Linked DNA regions of Alligator mississippiensis. The protein of the gene in region 2 interacts with the protein of the main gene of each other region in a pairwise test. Links are inferred from orthologs where the notes say so. Each region holds a gene or a part of one and is shown on either strand. Other genes may lie near its edges.

Region 1 (15,491 bases), on a different chromosome or scaffold from region 2:
CCCCTCCAAGTACCATCCGTCATCCAAAGAAGAAATATTTCAGCTACTATCTGACAGAATGTTTTACCTTGCCATCCAAAGCAGTCTCATAAACAGAGGGACTCATAACATCACTGATTGACAGCCTGGATTAAACACATTATGCACCGCTCAAATCAAATTTACAGATCTAAGTTTTGAAGATGCTACGAAAGAGGCAAATAACCCCTATCCCTTTCCCCCACACATAAGAAAACCTATTTGCAGCAGCAAGACCAGTGAAAACACTCCTGGCAAGGCCCATTAATCATCCTGGGCAGAAAGAGGATGCACCTGGTTTCACAGTATTCTGGGCCAATGGGCAATATTTCCCTAGCTTTTGCACTGATGCTGCAGTAAGAAGCAGCCAGGCTGAGAAAATAGTTCATTTTCAAAAAATATTCTCTTACACTGTGCTGCCTTTTGAGCAATACCAAATACTGTATTGCAAAATGATCTGAAAATGACTATTTAGTGTCAAATACACTAGCCATGGAACAATAGCTAGTACTGGCATGCCTTTGGGGCGCATTCTGTCCTACCTACTGGATATGGACCAGAGTATTATGGCTAGTCTGCACCTGTTACATGACCATATCCCTATGATTCTTTGTCATCTTTCCAGAGCTGAATTGTGAAATTCTCCAACATCTATCTGCTCTTTTTCACTCATCCTTTAATCAATACTCTTATTGAGTATGTTATGGATACATAACATCCATTTGCACCATGTATGGACTAGTCATTTGTTCTTTTTCTCTTCTGGGGTGAGGATGGTTTTGGGTTTTCTTGCTACCAGGCCATTGTGAGATGCTGATTCCACAGTTGCAGCTTGCCAGAAAAAGCTGTAACTGAAACTTGTTTCTAATGTAATGATGACCTATCCCTTTTTACCTTTGGTTGGACATAGGTTCCTTTTACTGCACATAGAAGAATCTAGTGCATAGTAAGGGGAAACTCGTGCTCTTCATTTAGATGCATACTGGGATGATTAAAACCCTTACTACTCGTTCTGTCCATCCCCACTCGAGAAATCCAGTGTTCTAAGGCTGCCTCAGATCAGGGACTAGATCATTTAAAAGGTATGTCACAGTTTGGATGAAGTGACATATACCCCAGAAGTTACATTCTCTTGGTCTAATAGGTAGATAACTCAATTATCTGACTTGCAAATATAACCCCTCACTTAAACATGCTATTATTTGCTTTACAGACCTCCTTGCAAAATGTACCCCATTAGATTCATGCATGTCTAGTTTGACATACAGTTAAATATTTTCCAAATTTGTAAACTAAACAAATGCTGTAATAGTGTTCATATTAACTCTAAAATGTGTCATAGTTCAACTAATAGGCCTTAGAGGTGGGAAATTAAATTCAAAATTCACACCATCTTGTAAAAATCATTCTTTGAACTAAGAGTATTAAACTGGCTCAACTCAAAATGACAATAACACCAAACCAAATTTTCAAAAGTGGGAGCACTTACTGCATCCTTAAGTTTATGTCTAATGGTAGGGTTGGAGTGGTATTGTAAGAATTATGCCAGAAGCAAGATCTTCTCTCTCAGACTTGAGGACGGGCACTCTGTGCCTAAAAGCTTATCCAACATCTCTCCCAACTATACAATTGGTCCAACAAAACACATTACTTAACTGGTGAGTGGAAATCACACTACTATATTTTATCTTCTAAACATAACTCCCACAACAGATTTTCAGTTTAAATTTGGCGTGACTACATACTCGTACAGTATTGAAAAAATAGCCATTTTAGGCTTTTATTTGCAATTCACCAGTTTAAATTAAGAGCAACACTATCAAAGTCAACTCTAGAGTCATCCTCTTTCTCTGACATACTTTTAAATTCAGAGTAATTCCATTAAGTCAATAAAGCCACTTGATATTTGAAATAATACAACTAAAAGCGAAATTTGACTCCTAGTAATCAACAGTATAGCTATTACACTAAATACCTTAAAGTCTGATTCTTCTCTCACTTTCACCAGTTTAAACTGAAAGCAACCGCACTGCCTTCTACATAGCTAACTGTGGGAAGACTAGAGATATTTCATCTCACTTATTTGATCAACTTAACAGTTAAACAAGGAGTGTTAAAAAGTATAGTCATCTAGGCAGTGGTTCTCTGCTTTTTTAGACTCAAGGCACCCCACAGAAAATGCCAGCTCTTACCTTTTGGATTACAGAAAAATAACGGAACCGTTCTTCCATTTCAAAGAACTCAGAAAGACCATAGTTTCATAGTAGCTAGGGTCAGGAGGGACCTGAACAGATCATCTAGCCTGACCCCCTGCCACAGGCAGGAATGAATGCTGGGTTCGCAAGACCCTAGACAGGTGATCATCCAACCTCCTCTTGAATTTGTCCAAGGTAGGGGAGAGGACCACTTCCCTGGGAAGTTGGTTCCAGATTTTGGCCACCCTAACTGTAAAAATATTGCCTTCTGATCTCTAACCACAACACATCAGAATGTTTTTGAGACTATGGTTTCCTATTTAAAATCTCTGGATTTGTCTTGTAAATCATGTATAGGTGCCTGTACACCTAACAGTGCTTAATAATGAGCGGCACTGCACAGGAGCCTTAAAAGGATCTCATGGCACACAAGGGTGCCACAGCACCTGGTTGAGAATTACATGCAGTAATACTGCCTCCTTAATACTTTTCTTGCAGATCTGGCTATCATCTAACTCACTACATCTTACTACCTTGATGACCTCTTAAGTTCTTATTTCCATCCTCATGTTCTATGCTACTGTTATATAAAAATCTGTGGTTTCTTCCGCTATAACCAGAAGAGCCATCTGACAGACAGTAGCTGGAAAAAACAAAGTAATCTTAATAAAATGTCTCCATCTAAACAGCACTGGCTTTCTAATTTGAGTCTGCAGGAGTAAAGAAACTAAAGCTGAAACGTCAATTTTATATTCAATTAACTTTATAGATACACTTCATGGCACTCAAGTAAATTATTGCTACTGTTATTTTTAGTGCTCACAAAGATGTTTCCTATCATTCTGCTGAAGAGAAGAGGTGAAATGGATTTGTATGTGGACCCATAGGAAGGCAATTTTCCTTGAGAACTTTCCTGGAAGCCCTACATCTATCCAATGCCTTCTTATCCCCAACTAGAGCTGACTGTACCCTTGAAAAGCAGACACTCCCCACAAAGAGAATTAGACTGGTTATCTGTGCAATCACAAACTCAAGAATTCCATTCTTAAACCCCTTAGTATATAGCCCCTCACAGCTTTGCACACAGAGTACAAGAGCTGTGGACTGCTCACATGGTTTCCCTGCATCTTGCCCTTGTTATTCTGCACGCAGGACATTCAGTCTACGTTACCTTGTGCTGGGGAGGTCTAATCCCAGTGTACATGGGCATGATGAAGCGCTATTTAAATAAAAAAAAAAGGAAGTTTCAACAAATTAATGCATTCTAATCGGCACTGGCCATAAATGAAGTGATAATAAAACTATGCTAGAGCAAAGTTGTTCTTTGAAATAGTGGAATACTCGTGGAGTGGTGTAACTATATGCCAAATACGACCATTTGCCCATTGTACAAGACACAATAACTACTGTAGACTGAGCACATCTTTAGAGTCCAAAAGTATCTGCATTATATTTAAGAGTCTAAAATTTACCCTTCCTCCACAAACATATGTGCATTAACAACTAAGTTCGCAGTTCAATATGAGTATCTGTACAGGAAGTTATGACTTATTTTTAACTTTGGACCATGAACATTGAAGAGACCTTGCAGACTTTATATTGTACATTTATTAACAATGTGTTTCAAACGGGAACCTCACTTGCTTTGTGCAATATACACACACACACACACACACACACACACACACACACTTTCAACTTAATTTGCAGAATACATGTTCAATTGTATAATTTATATGAACATGCAATATGTATTTAATTGTATTAATATAGGACATAATGCGAATATGAATAATAATTATACATGATTACATTATAGTTGTTTTTTACAACAACATTTGGATAGATCTATTCAGGCCACCAATGCCTAATGATTTTTTTTGGTCACTGCCAGAGACTAGATTTAGTTTCTACCAGGGGTAAAACTTCAGTTTTAAAAATTGGATGGTCCAAGAGAAGCCATGATGTGTATATTTTTCTTTTCATAGTTTTTTTGGTTAATTTTGTAGTGTCACATGTAAAGCAAATTAACCTTGCTGTTGGGGCTTAAAATACAGATGGGAAACACAGAAGTGAACTATCATTTTTCAATGACAATATACTTTTGCAAGTCTGAACGTATAATGCTAACAAAAGTAGTGTAACTATCTAGTGTGTGCCTCTGGTGTTCTACTATGCATGCAGGGCATAAGGAAAAAGGGACCAATTCTGCAAGGTAATAAGTAATCTTTACTCTTAGCAGTAGTCACTGAGACTTTTCAAATTCAACTTAAATACTGGAAGACAAGTGGGTATTCTGTATAAATTCAGGCTGAGAAACTGAAAAGGAGGTTCTCAATAGTTTAGAAGAATGCATAACTGCAGGCAAATTTTTGTTGTAAAATTTGTTTCCCTTTAATAAAATCATATTTTTTCAAGAGCCAGATTTTGATGTGTGAGAACTCCCACATGAATTGTCCCACTGATTTAAAAAGGGCTACTAACATAAATAGGGGATTGTAGAATCTGGCCTAAATTGAATAAAGACCCAGTAAATCTTGACCTGATAAGAAAGGCATTTAAGACTCAAACTTGAGAAGTGTGGCTGCTTTGGCCCCAAAGTTGCACAGCATTTTAGTGCATAAAGGGTTTCAGTAAAATCCTTCACCATAAAGAGCTGTTCTTTGCCATGTTTCATTAGAGGAGAGAAAAGAAATGGGTCTAAATTTCCATTACTGTTTATTTATATACAAAGGGCCAAAGCTGTCAATTATTGTGGCTTGAATAAGTGAAAGGCAAGGGAGAATTTGAGCTAGACAGTCCACCTGTCCTTTGCAAACCAAATCCTCATGAAATCAATGTTAGTCTTTCCAATGTCTTCAGATTTTGAATCAGGACTTTAAAGCAAATGAAGACAAATGAAATAAAAGTATAACATTTTAGAACATAAATGAAATCCAGTATGTTCCTCCCTGCTGATTGCTTCATACCTCTGCAAAGGTCCTAGTCTCAGTACAGGATATTGTGCGAGTGTTAGGAAAGAAAAGGAAATGTAATCTCCCCTTTAAAAATGAAGAGCATGATCCCTTTGACTTCAACGACAGTTTGGCCACAGACTTTGAAAGCTTGGACCACTTATATAGCAAATCGAAAGAAAAAAAGATGGGATTAAAAACTGTCCATGTAACTCTCGTGTTATTCAATTTACACGTTTAAACTTTTTTCAAGTGAAACTTTACATACCAGTCTTAAAAAAAAAAGTTATTTTGGGACCAGAGTAACTTTTTAAAAACACCTGCTAGCTGTTCCCCAAAATAACTTTCAGTTGGTTTTTCAAGACATTAGATCAAATTTTTAATTCAGCTACATCAACAGAACCACAACGGCTAGAAAATAGAAAGGTAACAGAGAATATCTATTTACCTCTTTGATTTCATGGACATTACTACTATTTTAGGAAAAACAAAGCCTGAAAGGTTTATGAAGTACAATTTGGGATTTTAGAAGTTCTTCCAACTCAGTTCAAAACTGCGGTAGATATTTATTTTAATTAGTTCAGCAATTTTGATAAACCTAAACTGGTTTTAAATCTTTTATTCCAAGTTGTTTTAAATATTCATAAGGCTTCTCTCCAAGCCACTCCCCTCTCCCCCCCGAAGAAAACCGTCAAAATATAAATATACTGATGTCTCAAACTTCCTTATTTCTGTCTTTATCGGTCTCAAGCTCAACAAAGGGCTGAGAAGGAGAAGTTGTTACAGTTCCTGTAAAAGTACCCGCTAAAAGTGCTTTTGGGCTGCAACAGTTTCTGGCCCTTTATTTCAGAGCTTGAGCTGACTATGGGGTCTGCTCTAATGGCCACATCACAAAATCAGGCCCCAAAGGTCCAGAACATACAAGTGTTCTGTGTATGGCTTGTGGGAGAATGCCCAAAATAAAGATTACTAACCCCAATTACAAATGATCATGTAAATGGCTCCTTGAATGAGGGGAAAAATATAATCTTACAAGTGGTAGTTTTTTTCTTTAAAAAAAAATCTACCTATAAGTAGCCTAATTAAGGAATATGACATTGGGCTTGATCTTATTCCCAGTGGAGTCAGTACAAGCTGTGTCTAAGAAGCACTGCTAGGCTGGGCCCAAAAGATGATGTCACCATGCTCAAGTGTCCTGAAATAACATTGCAGGGGTTCGGGTTGTAGCCTTGTTGGTCTAAGGACATAGGCAGACAAGGTTCCTTGGGTGAATTTGATATCTTTTATTAGACCGACCCAAATGGTTGGAGAATAGTTATTAAGCAAGCTTTCGGGTTCAAAAACCCTTCGTCAGGCTAAGGAAGCTGCAGCAGTTGGTGTGTGCTCTTCCTGGTGTCACTCCTTGTTTGATGTCAGCATAAGGCTCTCTATCAAAGGTGTTACCAAAATTTGTTTATATATATATATATATATATATATATATATGTATGTATAGTGATTTAGGCCTCTTGTATCTAATGTGTTTCGTCACCTCTAACACTATTCTAGTCTTTCTTGGAAAAAAATTAAGGAAGTTTGCTAAAAAAAAAGAAAGAAAAAGAAACAAAATGTAACTAATGACCTTTTGTTAGGCTTCAAGGGAGCTAACCGGCACATTGCAATCACCCCTCACCCCTGCAAGCTCTGAACCTTGTTTTGTTTGCAGAGAGGACAGATGCACTCATTTGCTTCCATGCTCATTTCATTGCCCAGAGTTTCAAAACAGCTTTTTAAAGTGTTTTGTTTTCAAACCCATGGGTGCATTTTCTGTTTTTGCGTGTGCCTTCCTAACCTGCATCTCCTTCTCCATGGACTTCATCTCATGTGGTTTTGGCCTGTTCGCTTGTCCCAATGTCACTACTGCGTTCGCTGAATCACCGTACGGTTTTGATTTGGTCGAAGGATCCCTGTGGATTCTCTCCCTATTATTTTCCCAACATTTTTTCCCCTCAAATGTTACCTGAAAAATAATGGGGTGCAAGGCTTGTTGAGAGGGTAGGAAGCCTGAAGCTGGGCAGAAGGCAGACTTGGAGGGTAGGTGACTTGGAGGTGTATCTGTGGCGGAGGGTCAGAATTGGCGGCATCATGGAGGGACTTTGGCAAGTTTGGTGGGCGACAGGCACTGAAATGGTGCCTCCGAAGGGCGCTGAACCCTCTGAGAGGCTTGGGGGAGGGAGAAAGAGAGAGCGGCTGCAATGTTGCCATTGGGGGTCCCTGGTGTGTGGCCAGAGCATGAAAAAAAAATTGTTTTTGCAGCTCTCTAGTTAGTCTAATAAAACATATCACCTCTTTCTCAAGAGTTTTAGATGCCTTTCCCTCTAGACAAGCGACGCACACCTCAGGACATGGGGAGGGCTGGGCAGAGTCCCCTCAAGGAGCCCTGGGCGGGGCGGGGAGCGGCACGAATGAACCGGCCCGGCTGTCTGGAGGAGCCCAGGTCTCCCCCGAGCCGCCGGCATGGGTTTGGGTGCAGCGGGGAGCCCGCCCGGCCCTCCACAATGCTCTGGGGGTTGGCGCTCCCTGCTTCCCCCTGCCCCGCTCTTACCTGGGCGCGGGGCGCGGGAGTGTCCGACGCGGGCTCGGCTGAGGCGGGCGCGGGGCTCGGCGAGGATCCTGCCGCTGCGTCCCGACCCCGCGCTCAGGGCGCCGGGAGCCGCGGCTTCCTAGTTTCGCAGCCGCGGCCACTTCCTCCAGGCGGGCGGCGGCTCGCACACTTCCTCCTGGGCACGGTCCGGCCAGGCCCCGGCCTGCGGAAGGGCGCGGGGCTGCGGCGCCGGGGGTGGCGGCACCCCGGGGTGCTGCCTGCGTCCTGGGCGCGCCGGGAGAAGCGTGCCAGGGACTCGCGCACGGACCTGTGCGCACACAGACGCACACATATGCACAATAACATACCCATATACACACAAACACATGCACATACATACACACAAACACGCACATTGGACACACACATACTTACACACATGCGTACACATACATACACGCATGTACACATACAACCACACACATGCGTACACAGAAACGCATACATACACACATCTACATACACAAACACACATGCATACACAAACACATACAGACACATATACACACGCATGCACATACATACACACATGCATATACATACACACATCTACATATACACTCACACACCGCACATATACACACAGACATACAGGCAGTCCTCGACTTGCAATGTTTCGAGTTACCACGTTTTGCACTGACAACATTTATAAATTGACACCCTGTTTCAATTTTCTGATGTCAGTTTTGACTTTACAATGCTTGATCCAACTCGATGCCACATCAGTGAACCAGTTTGCTGCGTCATCCATCTCCCTGGAGAACATCTGTCCAAACTTCCTTGGACACTTTCTTTAGGAAAGCAGACAAGACTCCAGAAAAACCTGCAGCCAAGACTCCTGAGAAGACTCCAGCCAAGAACCCTTCAAAAAGTCCAGCAAAGTCACCTCAAAGAAGTCCTTCCAAATCAATCTGATTGCTATTTACAATATAAATACATTAATGTAGCTATATCACTCATCTATAATTGATCAAGTACAAAATTTTGGGGTATTTTTAGTGAAAACAGAGTATCAGGCCTTGGCTGAGGAACGAATCCCTGTTTATAATGTTTCCTTTGGGAAAAACGGTTCCGAGTTACAACATTTCGACTTAGGATGCAGTTTTCAGGAACCAATTATGTCGTAAGTCTGAGGACTGCCTGTACACATACATACACACATACACACACAAACATAAATACCCACAGACACATGTACACACACATAAATGCACACACAGACATACATACACACACAGAGACATATACACATAAGCATACACACAGAGGCATACATCCACAAGGACAGCCCAGCCTGAAGAAAGAGAGCATTGGGAACCTGAAAACCATGGGGAGGCCAGCACTACGGCACAGGTAAGAAACGAGAAGGTAAGAATCAAAGGGCCCCTTGGGACTCGGAGCGGGGGGGCAGCAAAGGCACCAGTCGCAGGGCTCAAGTGCCTATATACTAATGCTAGGAGCATGGGAAACAAGCAGGATGAATTAGTGCTCCTGCTTGCACTAAACACCTTGACTTAGTAGGGCTAACAGAAACCTGGTGGGATTCATCCCATGACTGGGCGGTACATATTGAGGGCTATAGATTGTACAGAAAGGACAGGGTGGGGAAGAAAGGGGGAGGGGTTGTGCTCTATGTCAATGAGCAATATACATCGACCCTCATCAAGACAGAATCCGAGGTTGAGGAAGTAGAAGGATTGTGGGTTAGGCTACATGGGGGGCAAGGAGAAAGAGATTTGGTGGTAGGGGTCTGCTACAGACCCCCACATCAAGGGGAAGAAAGAGATTCAGGGCTCCTGAGGCAAATCTCGGAGACCATAAAAGCTAAAGAGGCAGTAGTCATGGGGGACCTAAACTACCCTGACATCTGCTGGGAGTCACAGACAGCAAAGTCCCACCGCTCACGCAGGTTTCTAACCTGTGTATAGGACCTCCACCTGACTCAGGAGGTACATGGTCCCACTAGGGGGAATGCCATACTGGATCTGGTATTGGCAACGGGAGATGACATGATAGCGGACCTCCAGATCGGTAGCCATCTGGGGGACAGTGATCACCTAATAATAGAATTCACCATAAGACGGCGAGTGGGTAAGGTAACTAGTAGGGTGAAAGTGCTAGACTTTAGGAAAGCTGATTTCAATGAACTCAGGCGATTAGTCAAGGACGCACTGCAGAGTAGGAGATTTGAAGAGATGGGAGCCCAAGAAGGGTGGCTGTGCCTTAAGGAAACGATCCTTCGGGCACAAAGCAAGACGATCCCCGAGCGAGGCAAAAGAGGGAAAGGGGCCAGGAGGCTTCCCTGGCTGACCAGAGAAATCCAGGGCAGCCTAAGGGACAAAAGGGGAGCACATAAAAAGTGGAAACAGGGAGAGATCACCAAAGACGAATATACCTCCTCTGCTTGCGCTTGTAGGGAGGCAGTTAGACGGGCCAAAGCTACCATGGAGCTGAGGATGGCATCCCAAGTAAAAGACAACAAGAAATTGTTTTTTAGATATATAGGTAGTAAAAGGAAGGCCCAGGGAGGAATAGGACCCCTGCTAAATGGGCAGAAACAATTGGTGACGGACAGGGGGGACAAAGCTGAACTCCTCAGCGAGTTCTTTGCCTCAGTGTTCCTAAGTGAGGGGCACGACAAGTCTCTCACTGGGGTTGTAGAGAGGCAACAGCAAGGCGCCAGACTTCCATGCGTAGACCCTGAAATGGTACAGAGTCATTTGGAAGAACTGGATGCCTTTAAGTCAGCAGGCCCGGATGAGCTCCATCCAAGGGTGCTGAAGGCACTGGCCGACATCATTGCAGAGCCACTGGCGGGAATATTTGAAAGCTCGTGGCGCACGGGCCAAGTCCCGCAGGACTGGAAAAGGGCCAACGTGGTCCCCATTTTCAAAAAGGGGAGGAAGGAGGACCCGGGCAACTATAGACCTGTCAGTCTCACCTCCATCCTTGGCAAAGTCTTTGAAAAAATTATCAAGGCTCACATTTGTGAGAGCCCGGCAGGACAAATTATGCTGAGGGGAAATCAGCATGGGTTCGTGGCAGGCAGATCATGCCTGACCAATCTAGTTTCTTTTTATGACCAGGTTACGAAACGCCTGGACACAGGAGGAGCGGTGGATGTCGTATACTTAGACTTCAGGAAGGCCTTCGATACGGTATCCCACCCCATACTGGTGAACAAGTTAAGAGGCTGTGACTTGGATGACTACACAGTCGGGTGGGTGGCGAATTGGCTGGAGGGTCGCACCCAGAGAGTCGTGGTGGATGGGTCGGTTTCGACCTGGAAGGGTGTGGGCAGTGGGATCCCGCAGGGCTCGGTCCTTGGACTGATACTCTTTAATGTCTTCATCAGTGACTTGGATGAGGGAGTGAAATGTACTCTGTCCAAGTTTGCAGATGACACAAAGCTATGGGGAGATGTGGGAACAGCTGCAAGCAGATCTGGACAGGTTGGACAAGTGGGCAGAAAACAACAGAATGCAGTTCAACAAGGAGAAATGCAAAGTGCTGCACATAGGGAGGAAGAATGTCCAGCACACCTACAGCCTAGGGAATGACCTCCTGAGTAGCACGGAAGTGGAAAGGGATCTTGGAGTCCTAGTGGACTCCAAGATGAACATGAGTCGGCAGTGTGACAAAGCCATCAGAAAAGCCAATGGCACTTTATCGTGCATCAGCAGATGCATGACGAATAGGTCCAAGGAGGTGATACTTCCCCTCTATCGGGCGCTGGTCAGACCGCAGTTGGAGTACTGCGTGCAATTCTGGGAGCCGCAATTCAAGAGGGATGCGGATAACCTGGAGAGGGTCCAGAGAAGGGCCACTCATATGGTTAAGGGCCTGCAGACCAAGCCCTACGAGGAGAGACTAGAGAAACTGGATCCTTTCAGCCTCCGCAAGAGAAGGTTGAGAGGCGACCTTGTGGCTGCCTGTAAGTTCATCACGGGGGCACAGAAGGGAATTAGTGAGTATTTATTCACCAAGGCACCCCCGGGGGTTACAAGAAATAATGGCCACAAGCTAGCAGAGAGCAGATTTAGATTGCACATTAGGAAGAACTTCTTCACAGTTAGAGTGGGCAGGGAGGAATGGGCTCCCAAGGGAGGTGGTGCTCTCCCCTACCCTGGGGGTCTTCAAGAGGAGGTTAGATGAGCATCTAGCTGAGGTCATCTAGACCCAACACTCTTTCCTGCTTATGCAGGGGGTCGGACTCGATGATCTATTGAGGTCCCTTCCGACCCTAACATCTATGAATCTATGAATCTATGAATCCACACAAACACACATACAAATGTAAACGTGCACACAAAATACAGACGAGGTTCTATGGGTAAATCCAATATCTTTTATTAGACCAACTAAAATGGTTGGAAAAAAATCTTCTTTGCAAGCTTTCATGTACAAACACCCTTCCATCAGGCTGAGGAAACTACCCTTAGACCAACACGGCTATAACCCATACCCCTGAAGCACACAAAATACACACACAGACACACATACATATACACAAACATACACACACACATATGCAAACATAAACACACACAGACATGTACACATACGCAGAAAAACACACACAGACAGATACATAAACACATAAACATACACACACAGACTCACGCAGAACAGATGGATCCAGGATTTAGAAAAGGGTGGGTGGTGCAGATGATGTGGCACGTCATCCCAAAGAGCACAACACACATTTTTCTCCGGTTAAAGAGAAATGCAAAGCTTTACCGACATGCTAGGCTAGTGCTTAGTTATTCAGTTTAAGATCAAAGCAAAAATTAAAATAAAGATAAGTATTGGAACGTGCACTGAATTGCTAGATTATATTTAAAGTTGAATAAATACAGAAAGCATACAAGGCAAAACATAGTCAAAATAGAGTGGCATTAGTCCTGCAGCCATTACACTTAAGTGTACATCTCTCACTTAGATTCATAAAACAAATGCTAGCTTTCTTGAAAGTCTTGACTGTGCCTTCAATACTTCAGCCAGGCGTGTCTACCCTGAAGTTAATATTGCCACCTGAGTTAAAATTTTTAGGCAGAGTTAACAACAGTCTGCAGGACTATGAAACAGAAGAGAGACATTCCCAGGGATGGCTAACAGACATGCAAACTGCAGAAGGGTAGATTGAATGGTGGAACATCAAGACCACTAAAAAGCATAGAGGAGGAAGAACCCGGGAGATGATAAGGAGCCATGATGTCAACTGATTCACTTAGCACTGTTTGAAAAAAAAGTTTCCATAACAGAGGGTCTAACACTCAATATGAGAAGTGCTCTTACACAACAAAAAGTTCGGTTTTAGGGTCATAGGAAAGTAGGACTGGAAAGGAGCTCATGGGGTCATCTAGTCCAGCCCTCTGCTCAAGGCAGGATCACCCCTGACTAAACCATTCCAGCCACGTGTCTATCTAACCCCTGCTTTTGAAAGTTTCCAAGTATGGAGAATCCACAACTTCACTTAGGCTGCCTATTCCAAAGCCTGACCACTCATAGAAAGTTCCTCCTAATATCCAGTTTAAACTTGCCCTGATGCAGCTTGAGGCCGTTGCTCCTAGTGCTGTCCCCTACAGCCACAGAGAAAAGCCCACCTCTATCCTCTGTATAGTCACCCTTCCAGTATTTGAAGATTCTTATCAACTTCCCCCTCAAGTGCTCTTTTTCTGAGCTAAATAACCCTAGTACTTTAACCCTTTTCTCATAAATTTTGCATCCCAGGCTCCTAATAATTTTTGTTGCCCGCACTGGACTCTTTCCAAACTGTTCACATCTTTCTTGAAGGTGCAGCCCCAAGCTGGACACTGTACTCCACGTGAGGCCTCACCAGTGCTGAATACAGTGGAACAATCACTTCCCTTGATTTGCAAGCAACACTCCTCTTAATACAACCCAGGATGCAAATTGCCATTTTTGAATATGAGCACACTTAGCTCATATTCAGATTACGGTCCACCATAACCTCCAGGTCCTTCTTTGCAGTACTGTAACCAAGCCAGTCATTCCTCAGCCTGTAGTTGTGCATGTGGTTATTTTGGAGCCATGTAGTGACTCAGGATGTGATGGCTAATACATTTCAACATGATATATTGTGAAAATATATATATTCATGCAGCCTTATTGTCTGTGTCATAGAAACATTAAGAAACTCAAGTCAGGGACTTGATTGTGCTAGGCACTGCAAACACAGAATACAGAGCTGGCTGTTGTCCCAAAGACTATACAATTGTTATCACCATTTTACATATGGGGATCTGAGATAGAGATTAAATTACCCACACGAATTGGAAGCTCCTAGGGAATTTGAAAGGTTTTTAGCCCAGCCTTTAATCTTTTCTTGCCTACTGAAGTTGCACCAAGATACTCACTGACTGAAAACTCTTGCCTTTCAGCAGATGGAACAAGATCTTATTTTCTATGGGACACTAATTATTTCCTTTTTTTAAAATCACAAATTGGGAGAATAATCTCACAAATAGAGCCCTAAAAGTTCTAAATGTCACTATTTCCTAACTATACTGAAAAGGATTTTTATTTAAGCAGGTTCTCTTTCAGATCTCAGTCCAGTCCTTTTCACTGATGTTGCGATCTTCTGACAATTTCTATATTGTAGGTCTATTTCAATTGGCGTTGCCTACACTGTGAAAAAAAAAAGCTAAGAAATCAATTTTGGGTGACTTGTTCCCTCTTTCACCTCCCCCTGTGAATAGAGCATGTGATCAGAATGCCCTCTGAAAACCATTACCAAGACCTAGCTCTGTATTGAATGTTTATATTTTTAACAGATGTCTCGCTGAAATCAATGAAAAATCAGTACTGTATCATGGACTATGCATGAGCAATGTAAGAGAAATCAAGTAAAGGAATCATCAAGTTCATGTTAGTATTTACAGGTCTGATTTTAAAATATTTATGATTAGCCTTTCACATAAAATTAAATGCAACTGTGATGTGTTCCTCAAACTCAAATATGCTAAGTTTTTTGGGTAGCAGGGGCAGGAAGGAAGTCTTCAAATTTGCTAACTAGCAGTCTTCCTACTATGTATAATTGTACTCTATGCAATGGGGGCAAGTCTTAGCACATTCAAATCTTTTTGAAGATTTTTATGGGGAGAATGTAGCTAGCAAAATCAGAAGCAGTATGAGTCATGCTCCTGGAAGGATTTGGTAGCTTTTTAAATTCTGCAACCTTTAAGGTAATCAAATGTGAAGATGCAAAGAGGAAGCCAGTATTTTGCCAACAGCCTATGACTGAACATGCCAGATAAAATAACACTAATCACCCTTGTGTTTCTTATTACATTTTATCTGCACTTGAGGAAGTTTCAAAATCACTGGTGCTTGCAATCTGATCCAGTAAGGCCCTAGCACTCAGCAGTCCAGCTACAGCACTATGCCATGCATCTGTATTACAGCCTTCCTGGAAAGGTTCCTGGTTTGAAGGCACTTCACAGTATTCTTGCTAAGTGTTCACTCCATCTTTAACCATAAAGATCATGTGAGCATATTTTGCTTCATTCTCTACTTATGGGAACCAAACCCCTGCAAATCTGGCCAAGAATCTGGATCTACTTGGTGTGAAGGACTTACCTCCAATATTCAGCAAGACACCTAAAAGAGGAAAAGTGCCACTATCCTCATTCATTCTATCCCCCACTTGCTGCCATTTGCCTTGAGTAGAGTTTCTTT
Region 2 (14,909 bases):
ATTAGAGTTGGTGTTTAAGTGAGGAATCTGATTTCCATGCTAGAACAGAAGTATGGGGATGCCCGCAGGAATGGCAGGTTTATGCTGGACTCTGTGCTTCACAGAGACACTCCTCACCTTCTCACTGCCGCACCAGAACTTCAGGTTTAAACCTGTTACAGTCGCTGCCAAACTAGCAGTTACTTTTGGCTGAGCTACCAATTTGGCAGTGGCTGTGATACAGCTAAACCTGAAGCTCCTGTGCTGCATCTAGAGGGTGAGTGACCGGAGCATTAAACTATGGTAAACCCATCATTCAGCCACAGAGATCACATGCTGGGACACTTAAAATTTTTGGAAAAATCTATTTTTCACTTTCTGGCTTCCCAAAATAAGGAGCTCATCTTATTTAAGAACATGCAATATGTAGAATATAGTATACACTTTCCAAAATGGATTAGGATTGCAACAGAGGTCTTAGTGGAGCGCTTCTGTCTGCATGCAATGGTATAAAATGAAAACAAGTAAAGAAACTGCACATCCTTTCAGTGGCAAGGATCATTGGCAGTTAGAATCATATTTAGTTTCAAGTGACTAAAAGCTGTTATTGACATTTCAACATTTTTAAGGTAGATTAGGATCTGGCCTCAAGTGTGCAAAACAGGACATGCCAAATTGTCCTCCCACACAAATCTGCAGGTCATGTTTTATGATGTAAGATATTTAGGGATATAATCCAGGGAACTATTTTGTTTATTTACAATATACCTCTTTAACATTTAAATATCAAGTTGTTCTTTTTTTTTTTACTGACATATAAATATTTTTCATCATAGCCATAAAAATGGACTTAGCCCAGAGATGCTGATTTTGTTTAAAAAAAAAAAAAAAAAGGAAAATGGAGACAACTCATTTCAGAACATGAAGATTTTAAAAAACGTATAAATTAGATGCCTTTTATAATCACATATTTTGAAGTGGAGTTGATCTTTTGAGAATTGATCCAAATGCCATTCAAAGAAGCACTTCAAAACAGGGACTGATATTTTTTTAAGCGTTTGTATGGTGTGACAGAGCCCAGTACTCTGATTGTAACTCCTGGATGTTACTACAAAACAAACATGGCATACTTTTCCATAAACTCCAACAAGATTTAGTTTGGACTTTAAAAAAAACATTTCATTGTAATTTCATACCGTGGTTCACTAATTTTATTAATGTAAATTCCATTTCCACAAAGGTAGAAGACTGATAAAATAATATCATTATCATCATAATTCAGAATCATTTGGTCAGCTAGTAAATGAAGCTTTTATATTAACCAAATTTTTAAATAAAACTGACATCTGCTTGATTATGTAGTATTTATTAAATATTCAGGTTAGCCTGAATAGAAGCAGTAGTTACATATAACATGGATTTATATACCCCATTCTCAATTATAAGAATAATTTGAACCCCGTCTCAAAAGCTGGCACTCCTTCAAACATGCCTTTGCAGTGAACCTGGCAAAAACATATATAGGCACAGTACTAAGAGCTCTAAATCACATGCACAATTGCTACCGTTTCAGTGACTGTCAAACTTCATCACAAAAACTTAAGAAGTTCAATTGGGCTCTTTCATACACTACCCACATTACAAAGACATAACTTCCAGGGCCATCTTCTTTCCACTTTGTGACAAAGACCACTGCCTTTCCCTTTATTCATAACACTCTTCTGGCCAATATGATTGTTTAGATAGAAAACTAAAAAAGAGAGTTACTTAACATATACACATTACATATTACTGCAATTTAGCAGCTGGCAACAAGGAGAGGAAGCCACGTGAGGAGTCAAATGACCAACAATCCACAAATTAAATATATGGAAGGGGCATTTAGGGAAAACGTACATTTCAGCTTGTGGCCTTTCCCTTCAACATCTTCCAAAGGAAAATCCAATCAAACAAACAAAAACCCCAAACCCACACAAGTAGTCTTTATCATAGCAAAAAAGCAATATATCATCTATGTAATCAATGCTGGGTGCCCTTAATAGAGGAAATAAGAATTTGTAAGACTGTGCCCTGTATTTTCGGAAGAAGAGCTGAGTTGAACCGAGTTTCCACTTCCAACTTTATCCCACTGCGATGAATGTCTTGTATTCAAAAGCTTGTCTAACTCTACTACAGTTGATAAAATAATAGATATCACCCAAAAAAATCCCTGCCTCTCACAACTGTAGTACAGACAGAACAAAGGCTTTTTAACCCTACACATCAAACTTCATCCAGCCTTTCTCCAATTCACATACAAAGTAGGGTAATCAACTCGAAATCTTTATGGTAGGCTGGTCTAGGGCCAGAGTGAAATGGATTGGTGATTTAAAGTAATTTCTTCTTGGACAGGTGTTCAGAGATCACTATCACGATTAGGAATAGCTTGCATATCAGTGGAGTTAAATGATACAATGGGTAAGGCACATATGACCCGTGTACACCGCTGCTGCTGGTAATCACCATCAGCATTTGAGTATCGTGTGCATTTCAATTTTCCTACTAGAGGCAAGGTTTAAAGGACATTAACCTTGAGACAAGCTAGGGGCTCTCCACATGGAGAGTGACAGACTACAACTGTGCCCCTATGAAAAGAAAACATGAAGACAAGCTTGCCAAATTAAACAGCCCCATGGCAGCAATTCAGGACCATGTGGAGTACACAGCCAAGCAATAAATATTCCTTAAATGTTCAACAAGAAGCCTGATCAAAAACATTTTAATGAAAGAAAAAAAGTGGATGACAAAGCCACAAAGGAGCCAAAAGTATATAGAATCAAATATTAGAATCACAGGGCAAGAAAAGATTTCAATTTTTATTCCAATGACTATATTGGAACATAGGCATCACAGATCACACCCCCCCCCCTAAAATTATTGAATAACGTCACAGAATCACATGTGAAAAAGTGGATGCAGCAAAAAGACTGACAGCACAATCCAAGTTTCATTCAGGGAAGAAAATCCAAATTTAGAAGTAAATCAACTCAAAATGATCTGTAAGCATGAGGAAAGTAAAAATTGAACTTTGCACAGATACAGATTTTGGTGATTAAGCAAGGAGGACATTATTAGTCTGAGAAAACAAGTAACTAAATAAGTCCCATCTCCCCCTACATTTAGAGCACTGTACCAAAATAAACCTGGGTTCAAGTACTACAAAAATCCAAAATGCTCTCCGAGTAACAGAAAACAAGACCTCCTGATGAATCAGATACCAAGTACCACAGTTGTAAGAGTATTCTGCTGACTAATAGTCATCTCTTGGAAACTCAATACATTTTTATCATACATGTGGTTTCTTCACACTAACGACGAACAGCCACAACATACTTTGGAAATGTGCCCGAAATACAAAAACCAAGAAACACCATACTCCTAAACAAGCAAAATACAAATCATCTTTAACTCCAGTTCTACAAAAACAACAGAAACATTTTTTAAACTTTCATCTCAGACAAGGCATTAATCCAATTTATTCTTTTACATCATTTCCTAATGTATTTTCCAAAATATCTCTTGGCTTATTTTCAGTTGTCACTCTGTCAATTCTTCATTGCACTTACTGAGTCTAGAAGCTGTCATTTCTTTTAACAGTCAAAATTTGCAAGGTGTATTCTAGATTGTTTTTTCACAGACATTTTGAAAAGAAAGTAGGTTGCAGAAAGTATGGTATAATGAGAGGGAGGGGCTGATGTTACAGACGGCCACAACTGAAAAGAGGAAAAAAGTAATTTTAGGGTAAGATTCTTTTAATCACTTTTGGCTTGAGGACAATGTGTTTATTTATTTATTTATATATATGATCATTTGTTTTTTTAATCCCATTGCCCAAATCCCATTTCCCCTGCTGAAGTTAATATTTTTTTCTCAGATGATACAATGCAAAAAAGGTACAAACTCTTCAAAGCCAGGGAATGTCATTTTTTTCGTTGTGTGTTTGTTCCCTAGCTTGCAAAAATGGACTATTAGATGCTTCAGTACAGCAGTTCATCCTCCTCCTCCAAGAAGAGATTTCAGATGTAGATTTTTCGCCAATTCATTTAGTTTTTGCAGTCTAGGACACAAGATGAAATTTAAGAACTAATCTCTTGCCCGCAGCCCAAGTTTAACTTCCAAAGAGAAACAAAAAAAGCAATCTTGGAACACTGATCAGCAAATACAATCATTTAGCTGACAGCCATAATATTTTATTATTTGTTAGACAACTGATGGAAATATAATAAATTCAGCCCAACCAGCAAATATTACAAATGCCTGTACACTATTACAAGTACCTGTAATCAGGCCTCCAATACAAGAATGAAGAGGGCTGTTTAAGAGCACCTCATTAAAAACAATATTTGTAACTGAATTTACTGCTCACAAACCATGTCAGATTTGCAGTAGTCAGTCCGTAAGCTGCCACCCTACCCTCCCTTTAGCCATTTGCAGCAGTAGAAACTAAAACTCCCTGCTCTTTCACAGACAAGGTACAACACAGAAGCTGCCAGCAAAAGTTCACAACAATAGCCTATTAGCACATCTCACTTTAAATCAGTATTGACCAGCACAAGTACCAGAAGACAAATTTAGCTAGTGTCTATGCAGCCTTAGCCTCGCCCCTGGAAATGCCTACCAAAGTGCAACAACAATTTTTAGAGGTAGACACCTTCCTCTCTCTAGAAACTTGTCTAAAATAGGATGTTGTACCACTTTAAAGATAATGGCACAGTTAAGGTAGGTTCAAGAGCCCTCAGTATGGGCACACTTACGCTAGCATAGCCGTCTTCATGTAATAAGGTACATAGCTACGTTATCTTTGCTACCCAACAGGAGCTGTATGTCTGTCACCAACTCATTTCATGTTAGTGAAGTAACAGCAAGAGAATAGCAGTTTTCGACAGTTACTGCCCCAAGTGTGAAATCAATCACAGAGCTAAATGGTTCTATACTGTTTCCAGTTGCTCAAGTCCAATTTTAATGCTGCCTGGGGAAAAAATCCCTAAGTACACAACTTTCCATTTCAGCCAGATCAATTCATAGGTACTCTTCTGTAAGTATCACCTCCTCCGAATAACTTCTGCTTCTCAATACCTACCTAAATTAGGCCTGACAGGAACTGCAAAGAGTTGAGTTTGTTTCTTTTATTTCACAGTTGTAGGCGTGTTGGTCCGAGGACACAGGCAGGCACAGGCCTTTCTTTTGTTTTATATTTCGGTGGCCTCTTTCCTCCTATGAATTGTTTATGTAGTCCCTTTCCACTCACAAGAAAACCAGGTGCTTCATAAGGTACTGGTATGAGCTTCCACCCCTATGTACGTAAGTGTTATTGTAGCGGTTTGTTTTCACACTGGCTACTTGCCCCCTTGAGTTAGTTGGGCTTTCTGACGAGTGTCAGGACCACGCCCTGCCTATATACACCACCACCAAAATGCAACTACCTCCAAATCAAAAGGCAGCAGCCAGACTTTGCTTTCCAGCCGTGTGTCCCATTTAAGGTGCGAGAGAGACTGACCCGTCAGTGATGCCAGCCACCGCACAGGCAACTGCTGTCTCACCAGGCCATGGAGGGCTTCCCCTCACAACCAACACAGCTGGCCAGCCAGCAGGGCTTCATTCTAGCTCCATTTCCACGGAGGGTGTGGGGGACACAGAAGTCACTGCTGTGACAGCGAGGCTCAGCGGGCCTGACACCTGGGGCCTCAGTCACTGCTGAAGCAAGACCTGTTTACATTCACCAGTTGTCCTGCCTCAGCCCAGCTTGAGGGCCTTGATACCCATGTCCAACAGCTCTGCAGCAAGGGGCATGAGCTTGCACACATGCACACGTATGCATACACACACCCTCTCCAGGAATGCCAGTGCCCTCCCCCCACCCTGCCACCATCACAACATCCGGAGGCTTCTCCTTTAGGAAAAAGGAAACAGGTTTCTTCTTCAGGAAAAGGAAACAAGAAGCTGCTTGTAGGGACCTGGACTGGGGGGTGGAGGAGTGTTTACAGTAGGTGAATGGCTACAACCTGCCCCTCCCTACACACATGCACACACGCACACAGAGACAGGCAGACACGTGTGCGCACACAGACACACGGAGACATGTGCACGCTGACAGACACACATGGAGACAGAAACATGCAGACACCCCCCCCCCCCCCACACACACACACACACACGCACACGCAGAGGTGCACACACGCACAGCCCCCCCATGCGCAGAAGTGGACACGCACAGAGGTACACACGCACACAGACGTGCAGAGACGCACACAGGCACAGGCATGCACGCACGTGCAGTCCCGCACACGCAGAGCCGCAGAGCGGCGGGAAGGAGCCGCGATGCCCCCGCCCCGCCCCGGCCCAGCCCGTGCCCGCCCGCCCGCCCGCCGCCAGGCCGCGCGCGGTACCTTGGCGCCGCCGCTCTGCTGCAGCACGTTCTGCTCCACCGTCATGGCCCCGGCGTGCTGGGGCCCGCGGCCGCGGCGGCGGCTCGCAGCAGAGCTGGGCTGGGCTGGGCGGGGAGGGGCAGGCGCTGCTGGGGCGGGCCCGGGGCGCTGGCAGGCCCGGCTGCTACCGCCGCCGCCGCCGCTTGCCTCGGCGCGGCCCGGGCCCAGGAATGCGCCGTCGGCTCCGCCCCGCGCCCCAGCAGCGCCGCCGCCGCCGGGCCCGCCTGGGCTGGGCAGGGCTGGGCCGGGCCTGGCCGCTCCTCCGCCCCGTGCCAAGCTCGGGCCTCCCCTTCCTCCGTGCGCAGCCGCGCCTCGCCGCCCGGGCCTGCACGCCCCCTGCGCTTCCCACAACATCAAAAGCCGGGCCTGGCTAGGCGCCAGCTTGCTCAGGTGCACGATCATGCTCCAGTTGCGTGGTCATTTCCACCCTGGTGCGATGAGGAATAGTAACAGTGTTTCTAATGTGCGCCCCACCCTCCACTTTTCTCCTGCCGCGGGAAGTTTCCTTCCGACCTGGGAGAAATGTTAGCATTTTTGCGTGGCGACAATCTAGGACTCCTGGTTCGGAAAGGATACCTTGTATCAGACCAGCTGAGGAGCCGGTCCCTTAACAGGGATCCTCTCCCAACCAAGAGTTCTATATGTTTGCATTTCCTCGGGTCTCAGAGCAACACCGCGACCAAATGCATCCCTGAAACAATCTTTGCATTCGCCTTTGCCTGGGGAACAGGGATCCTGGTTCTCTCTGATTAAAAAAAATAAAATAAAAAAATCCCCAATTTAAAATCTAGTTAGTCTAATAAAAGGTATCGCCTCTACCGTGAGTCCCGATTGCCTTTGGAGCAAAAAACGTAACCCAGAATCCACGTTTGCATGGTCAAAATGAAACGTCACTAATATCTTTGTAATACATAATAGTGTTCTGCTATGACATACATAATACATACTAGTGTTCTGCTACGACGACAGTGTTCCGCTCAATCAATGTGATATAAAAATTATATCACATTGATAGAGCAGAACACTGCCGCCCCAAAAAACCTATGGATGGAGCAGGCAGAACTCACTCTTTCACAACACTATTATGTATTACAAAGGTATTAGTGACGTTTCATTTTGACCATGCAAACATGGAGATACATAGAGAGAGAGAGATAAAATGGTGTTTTATTTTGGTCACAGAAAAATGTGGATTTTTGCATTCCTTTTTTTAATCCAAAAATTGGGGATTTTTTTAATCGGAGAAAACCACAATCCCAGGAAAATGGGGAATTTGGGTTACTCTATTTAATTCAGAAATTGGGGATTTTTTTTAATCAGAGAAAACCAGGATCTCTAAGGTTCCTTCCAGCTCCTAACAACTACGAAAGTATAAAACCATGAAAGGCACATAAGCCCTAAAGCTTGCAAATAAAGACATTTTTTCCAATTATCTAGTTGGTCTAATAAGAAATATCACCTCTACTGCAAGAGTTCTGAGTGCTTTTGCCTTTAGACCAATACGGCTACAACCTATATCCCCAAAATGTACAATGGTTTTTGAGGTAGCTAATTAATCCAGCATATACAACACCCAAGTCACCCTGATGGAGTCTTAACTGAAATTATTATTATTATTGTTGTTGTTATTATTAATTCTTGTTACTATTATGAATAATAGTAATAATAATATATTTTGTGTTCTAGGTCAAATCAGCCAAATCAGTTCCAAATCATATTGACTGAGCAGAACTCAAGTCATTCCAAAAGCCCTATGGATTGAGCTGGCAGACCTCAGTCATTCTAAACACTATACATGGTGCTACAACTGGTGAGCATCCTTCGTCCCAGAATCTCACCCTGGGACTTCAGATACTCCCAAATCTATTGGCAGGTATCCTACGTGCCAACCCAAGCCCGGGTTCACATGCCGCCATGATTGATCAGAGCCAAATTGCCAGCACTTTCTTATGACTGCTTGCCTCGAAAATAAAGAAATACTTCAACTTTGATGACCCAGTTCTTACTCACTCACTGAAGAGTTATAGAGAGCAATATAAAATAAATAAGAATAAGACTTGTTTGTATGTTTATTTGCTTATTTTTTCTGTGTACAACATGCTTTTCAGCAAATACAATAATTTTGAGCTTCCAATCATATTAAGACTTGATGACCCTGCTGGGAACTGTGGGATGAGCTCCCACGAGTCCTGGAACAGCAAGGCTCCTGCTGGGAATGGCTGGTACCATGGGCAACTGCTACCACCTTAGTCGGGTGGTGGGCCACATGCCCCCCAGCGACCAGCCAGTGACTGGGGGGCATCCCCCTGCAGCCAATCTCACCAATGCGGGGGATCCCCCCACCAATCACAAGGCTGACACTCACAGGGGTGCCCCCTCCCTTGCCCGTTGCCTAAGGGGTGAGTGTGGCCAGTCAGGGGGTGCACCAGCACTCTCAGCGGGTGCATATGCACCCCCTACGCATCGCCACTGGCTGGTACACAGCAAGCTCTGGGCCCTGTGGGCTGCAAGGGGATGGTTTGGGTGGGGGTGAACCTGTCTCAGGCAGGGGGATGGACTAGATGACCTGTGCAGGTCCCTTCCAGTCCCACTTCTCTGCAAGTCCATGACTGATAGAAGCATGACATGTTGGCTGCCCTGCTTTTCTTGTGGCAGGTTATGAAGTGGTTAGGTCTGAGCTTTGTCAAGGTAGTCTCATGTAACATTTAAGTGATGGATTTGTATAAGAGGGTTTGCACAGGGATGATTCCTGCCTCAGGCAGCCCCAGGGACCTCCTCTCTTCCTGGCTCTGGCCAAGCTGGCCATCTACAAGACCAGAAGGGAAGCTCTGACCAGGAGGAAGCCAGGACAGTGTGGGGTTGCTTTCCTGGCATTCCTGTGCTCCCGTCTCTGGACAGAGTTTCACTGGTCGGCGTCCACAGTCTCCCTCAACTCTTTCAGAGGGCAGTGGGTGCTGACTAATGTGCTCTGTTCAGTGCTCACTTACAATGCCCTAGTTCTTAACCTATAACCTCACTCCTGTTCCTGTTTTCTTTATTGTTGTCCCAAGCAATTAGTTGCTAGGTCCCCAGGGGCCTCTCTTCTTAAGAGGGGTGTGGAAGGATCAGCTGTGCCATCCTGAAGTTGAGCTGTAGTCTCTCATGTCAGACCGGATATCCTCCTTGAACTCGTCTGCCACAACTTTGATGGAAAAAGGAAGGATCTAAAAATAGACACAGTCCTATGAGACAATATGAATGTTAACTCTGTGACTCAGGAGGTTGGCTCCTCTTCCCAGGGCTCCACCATCCCCATACCTTGCCCTCTCCACACCAGATGTTATGCATTTACTCATCAGTTCTCGTCTATGGGGGCTTCAACTCACAGGTTATCTTGATCAGACTCCTGGAGTCTCATGCCTCACTCCTGGTCACTTGCCCCACTCTTCCCCACACGAGTCCCAAGCCAGTTTCGCTGCAGTTCACTCCAGCCCTTATCCTTCAGGGCCGTGCCACCTGGGGACACCGTCCCTGACTCACACCAACACACGTCTCTGTCTCATCTCTTTTCCAGGTCCCTAGAATGGCTGCCCACACCCACCGGTATCTGACTCACTGGCTGGGACACTGCAGCTGCCTTGTCATCTTGTCTCTGCAGGTAAGTAAATTGCCAAGACTCCTTCCTGACCCCAGGGTCGATCGCTCACTGGCGGCATCTCCCCACGTTCCTTCAGGGTCCTCTTTGTGCCCTCCTCTTCTGGATCGATGCTGACTGCCTTGTCCGTGTCCCTTAAATTTCCTGCGCTGATCAGCTGGGTCTGCTGTGGCAGCACCCGATTCACTGCTTCCCCATCTCTCTCAGCGGATCTGGCTAATTACCCTCCTGTTCTCCTTTGTGGCGTTTCTCCCGCCCAGGTTTGCTGCACCTCTTCTCCCCACCAGGGCTCGTCCTGGTAAGTTTCTCTTTTCTCATCTGGGATTTTGGCACAGGGTGGGTTTACTGCTCTGTCACAGGGAGATTATATATTTCATGTTGGGCTGAGGCCCATGACATCAGCACACATCAAGTAGGCCTGGTTCTGGCCAGGCTGGCCATCTACAAGACAAGGATGAAGGCTGTAGCCTGGGGGACCCCAGGAAGGTGTACAGCTGTCTTCCTGTCACTCCTCTGCTCACATCTCTGGGCATCCACAGGCTCCCTTGACACATTCAAGGGGCAGTGGGCACTGCCTGGTGTACTCTGCTTGGTGTCTTCCCTTGGCACTCTTATTATGAACCTTTGACCTCCACTCCTCTCCCTGTTTTCATTATTACTTGTCCCAAGTAACCTGTAACACATCATTAGTGGCCCTTAGTACAAAAGGGGGCTTACAGTTTCCTTGAAGGGCACCTGGGCCCATATTTCCCCTGACATATTAAAAGTCCTGTCACTCCTCCACTCAGGTCTCTGGGCAGAGTTTCACTAGCCAGCATCCACAGGCTCCCCCGACTCATTTAGGGGGCAGTGGGTGCTGGCTGGTGTACTCTGCTCAGTGTCCACTTCTGGATCCCTTGTCATTAACCTGTGGTCTCACTCCCATTCCTGTTTTCTTATTATTTGTCCCAAGTATTCAGTTGATGGGCCCCTGGTGACCTCCCTTATTAAAGAAGGCTTATAGCTTTCCATAATGGGCAAAGCCCATGACCTTGTGGCACTTCAAATAGGCCTGTTGCTCCTCCACTCATGTCTCTGGGCAGGGTTTCACTTGTCAGTGTCCACTGACTCCCTCGACTCATCCAGCAGGTAGCAGGCTCTGGCAAGTGCACTCTGCTCATTGTTTCCTGCTTTACCTCTGGCAGGTTAGGGGGTTAGGTCTGTGTTGGGTCAGGGTTGACTATAGTCTTATGGAGCATTTAGATGATGGATTTGTACCAGATGGTTTGGATAGGGATGATCCTGCCTCAGGAAGGCCATTGGACTAGATGACCTCTAGACATCCCTTCCAGCCTGACTTCTCTACGCTTCTATGAAACACTCACTGAAACAGAGAAAGTTGTGATGTGGACCACTACTACTGGCCACCATGAAGCTAAGCAGCTGTAGCCATTTCACCTGCTAAGGGCTCCCAGCCAGCCCCTGCACCCAGGCCTGTCTGCCCTGGGGTGTGGCTATGAGAGGATCCAGGATTTTGAGAAAGGGGGTGGGAGTAGATGGTGAGCTACACCATTGTATATAACATATATGGTTTTCTCCAGTAAAATAGAGACTAGAAGCTTTACAACTATGCCAGGGGCCCAGGGCTATGTGACTTAGTTAAAAACTGAAAGAAAAACAAATAAAACTTAATTGAAAGGAGTTAAAACGGTGAAATAGGAGCTTCCTGATGAGGAGCAGATGCTCTTAGTGGCCCCCATCACCAATGGTAGCTTATAGCTCTACCTGGTGGGCTTTGCCCTAGATCACAGAATGACATATCAAAAGCCCTGACCAGGAGCAGCTAACAGGTGGCAGAATAGCCAGATAAAGGGTGGCTTGACTGATGGAACATCAAGACCATTAAAAAGAAGAGTTGATCCTTAACACCTGTGAAATAAAGAGTTTCGAAGGGATCAGGTAGATGATAATGACTCTTGACGTCAATTGACTTCCTCAGCATTGACTTACTAGAATTGCTACTGTCACTGCCAGGCACTTTGTTTTAAAATTTGGGTGGAACAGGAATCAAAGCGGGGTTCAAGTGCACCAGTGCCCCCCCCCCCCCACCTCCTGATCCACCCCTGGTTGTGGCACTTGCGTTTCCCACAGACCCCAGCCCCAAGGAGCCCAGGAAAGAATTGAAGCTGGGTTCCCTCAAAAAGTACAGGGTCATCAAACCGGGGGCATTCTGAGCAAAATATTTTGGATTAAAAAAACAGAGAGTTTCCCATGAAACTTTGCATAGCTGAAAACTTTCTAACAAGCTCTAGTGCTATCAGCCTTTGTTGACAGCAAGCCTTAAAAAAAAAATCAGTGCTGTCACTGCCATTCCTCTTCATTCCTGTGAAGTGTTAAACTATATACTCAGTTTACCCACTGATGATACTCAGGGGGTATCTGAGTTAAACATCACTGTTATAAATTGTTCCCTGCCAATAAACCATGTAAACAAGGAAAGGAAGGATCACATATTCAAATGAATGTCATTTTGTTTTGATACTCTATCTGATGGCATTTAGGTACTTTTTTGCCCAAACTGCCCTATGAAGCCAAGAAACCAAAAGGAAAAAATGGATTCTGAGGGAATAAGTTTCACTAAGTGAAAATCAGTCCTACAGAAGCCAGTGAGGCATTCAGTTCCCCGCCTACCTAATCTGCCCCTCCTGAAACGCAGGGCAGGAGTGGGCAGAATTTGCTGTGATGTTGGATATTGGACTAGGCTGGCTGTAATTTCAGTTGCTCCTCCCTCTGCCAGGGTCTGTTTGTAGACTCAGGCAGATCTCGCTGCATCAGTTACACTTGGGTCATGTTTCAAATTTTCCTTGCAATGAGGAGTAGGGCTAGAAACATATTTTTTTTTTAAATGAAACCTGAGATTCTCACATCATAATAGGACCCTGGGTTTTGAGGTCCTAACACATACATATTTTGTGGTGTGTCATGCACCAAAAAGGAAACAAACCCAAGGAGCTCAGCAAAACCCCTGTAATTATATTTTGAATACATACAGAGTAGACTACAACAGTTCCCCATTTTAGTATCATGAACAGCTTGGCTTGCAAGCAGAGTTTGTAAGAGTAATACGGTGTTGCTAACCCCACATATTTTTAAAAAAATTATGATTTGGGGGGTCAAATGTATTCAATTTTAAAACAATGAACTGGGGGGTTCTTTTGGTTTGCCTTGTGGTTTCTGAAGCTTTGGGGTTCACACTTACATCTGAGACTGTAACCAGGAAGGCAAGAAACTAATTTATTGAAAATAAGAGCTGAGATTTTCATTTAATGACATGACTCCAAGTCCCAGGCTTTTAAGAAAAACATTGAATATTGCGGAACTCATTGGTTGGCTAGAATGGCCTCACAACTTTTCAGCTTCACTTCAAACCCTACGCTGCTGCTTATTTTTGACTCAAGTTATCACTCCTCTTCCTGCTCATCACTTACCCCCAACTCCATGCCTACATACATTACTTCTGAGGTGATCTGTTTACAGTTTCTTTGAGTGTATAGAGTTGGAGGAGGTTCTAGGCGAGAGTCTCGCAATGAAGCAAGGGGAGGTAGCTCTGCAAAAAATACTGTTTTCTTTAATTTAACAGAGCTTGCTATTCTATGTTTGAAGGAAGTGGTTGTTCATGATTCTTCACCACTGTCATATGGTACAGAATGTTTCTGAGGGCAGGGGCTCTCTTTTTATGTCTGCCCAATGCCAACAAAATAATGAATCACAGCAATAGTGAAAATACAAGTTCTCCTCACATCACTGAGCCACCATAAACCCATTTATTTTCTTCATCATCTGGTTGTTTCACTGTAATATTTTTGCTTGTTTATTTTGTTGCCTTGTTTTGTACCAGCTTTTGTGGGGGTGGTTTTGAAATCTGTCCAAAATTTGGTCTTCTAAGGTTTGCTGATCAGAGATAAGTTAATGGCCCTCAATTTTTTTCCCCCTCATACCGAAGTGATTTTTTAAATTACTGTTAACAAAGAATCCACTGTACAATCGACAACAGACACTATACAAATCATAAAATAAATAAGGTTATCAAGGACTTGGAGATTCTTTTTCTAGGTTTTAGAACAGTAATTCAATCTACTTGTTCAATCAACTGGTGGCTACACAAGATGCTGACAACAGTAGTATTTTGTTTTAGAAAAGTTTATTTTATATTGTTGTGCCCCACTGACTAGACTGACCTCTTTATCCCTCAGTTCAGTATATAACTTTACATCATTCAATGCATTTAATTATAGTGGCATGCTCAGGTAACATTTTTTGTTGCAGCTTTAACCCATTCTATATTTTTGCAATATTCAAGTTAATAAATTTTTGTATCAAAATGATCCAAAAATACCTGTATACTGCTTTGATGAAAAAATAGTATAATGAATACTGAACGCCATATATTATATATATAGCTATATAATTTAATGTTGTTTTCAAACATCTACATTTCTGACCTGAAATACTTCCTTCAAGTGCAGTTCTTCTCCTACTCAAGCATTCCTAAGAAAGTAGAAATGGACCCAAAAAATAAAATATTTTAAATACATTTTATTTTTTGTCCAATTTTAGCCTCAGAACAGGACAGGCTAACCTAATTTCATACTTCGTAAAATAATTTTAAAAGCATCACTTCCGGAAGTGAACATGCTACTGCTGTTGCTTTTTTTTCAAATAGCTGAGTAATACACTCCTGAAATAGGGATTTATAATTGAAATGCTGACATAATCTGAACCATAGCAATGCAAATTATGATTCTCTAGTACATATGGTGCAGCTGGAAAACAGATGGACTACATTTCATGTT

What was found.
Region 1: the proteins of USP25 (region 2) and SYK interact in binary tests that used the Homo sapiens proteins (3 or more experiments, as listed by UniProt). The link is inferred for Alligator mississippiensis from reciprocal best matches to the Homo sapiens genes USP25 and SYK.

What each region holds. Positions count from the first base shown.
Region 1 is NC_081826.1:212,109,309-212,124,799, reverse strand, and holds the start of SYK (tyrosine-protein kinase SYK), read right to left. Parts: upstream 7,916-15,491; 5' UTR 7,752-7,915; intron 3,433-7,751; 5' UTR 3,385-3,432; intron 1-3,384. UniProt on the Homo sapiens protein: Non-receptor tyrosine kinase which mediates signal transduction downstream of a variety of transmembrane receptors including classical immunoreceptors like the B-cell receptor (BCR).
Region 2 is NC_081824.1:279,359,311-279,374,219, reverse strand, and holds the start of USP25 (ubiquitin carboxyl-terminal hydrolase 25), read right to left. Parts: upstream 6,625-14,909; 5' UTR 6,450-6,624; coding exon 6,405-6,449; intron 1-6,404. UniProt on the Homo sapiens protein: Deubiquitinating enzyme that hydrolyzes ubiquitin moieties conjugated to substrates and thus, functions in various biological processes including inflammation and immune response.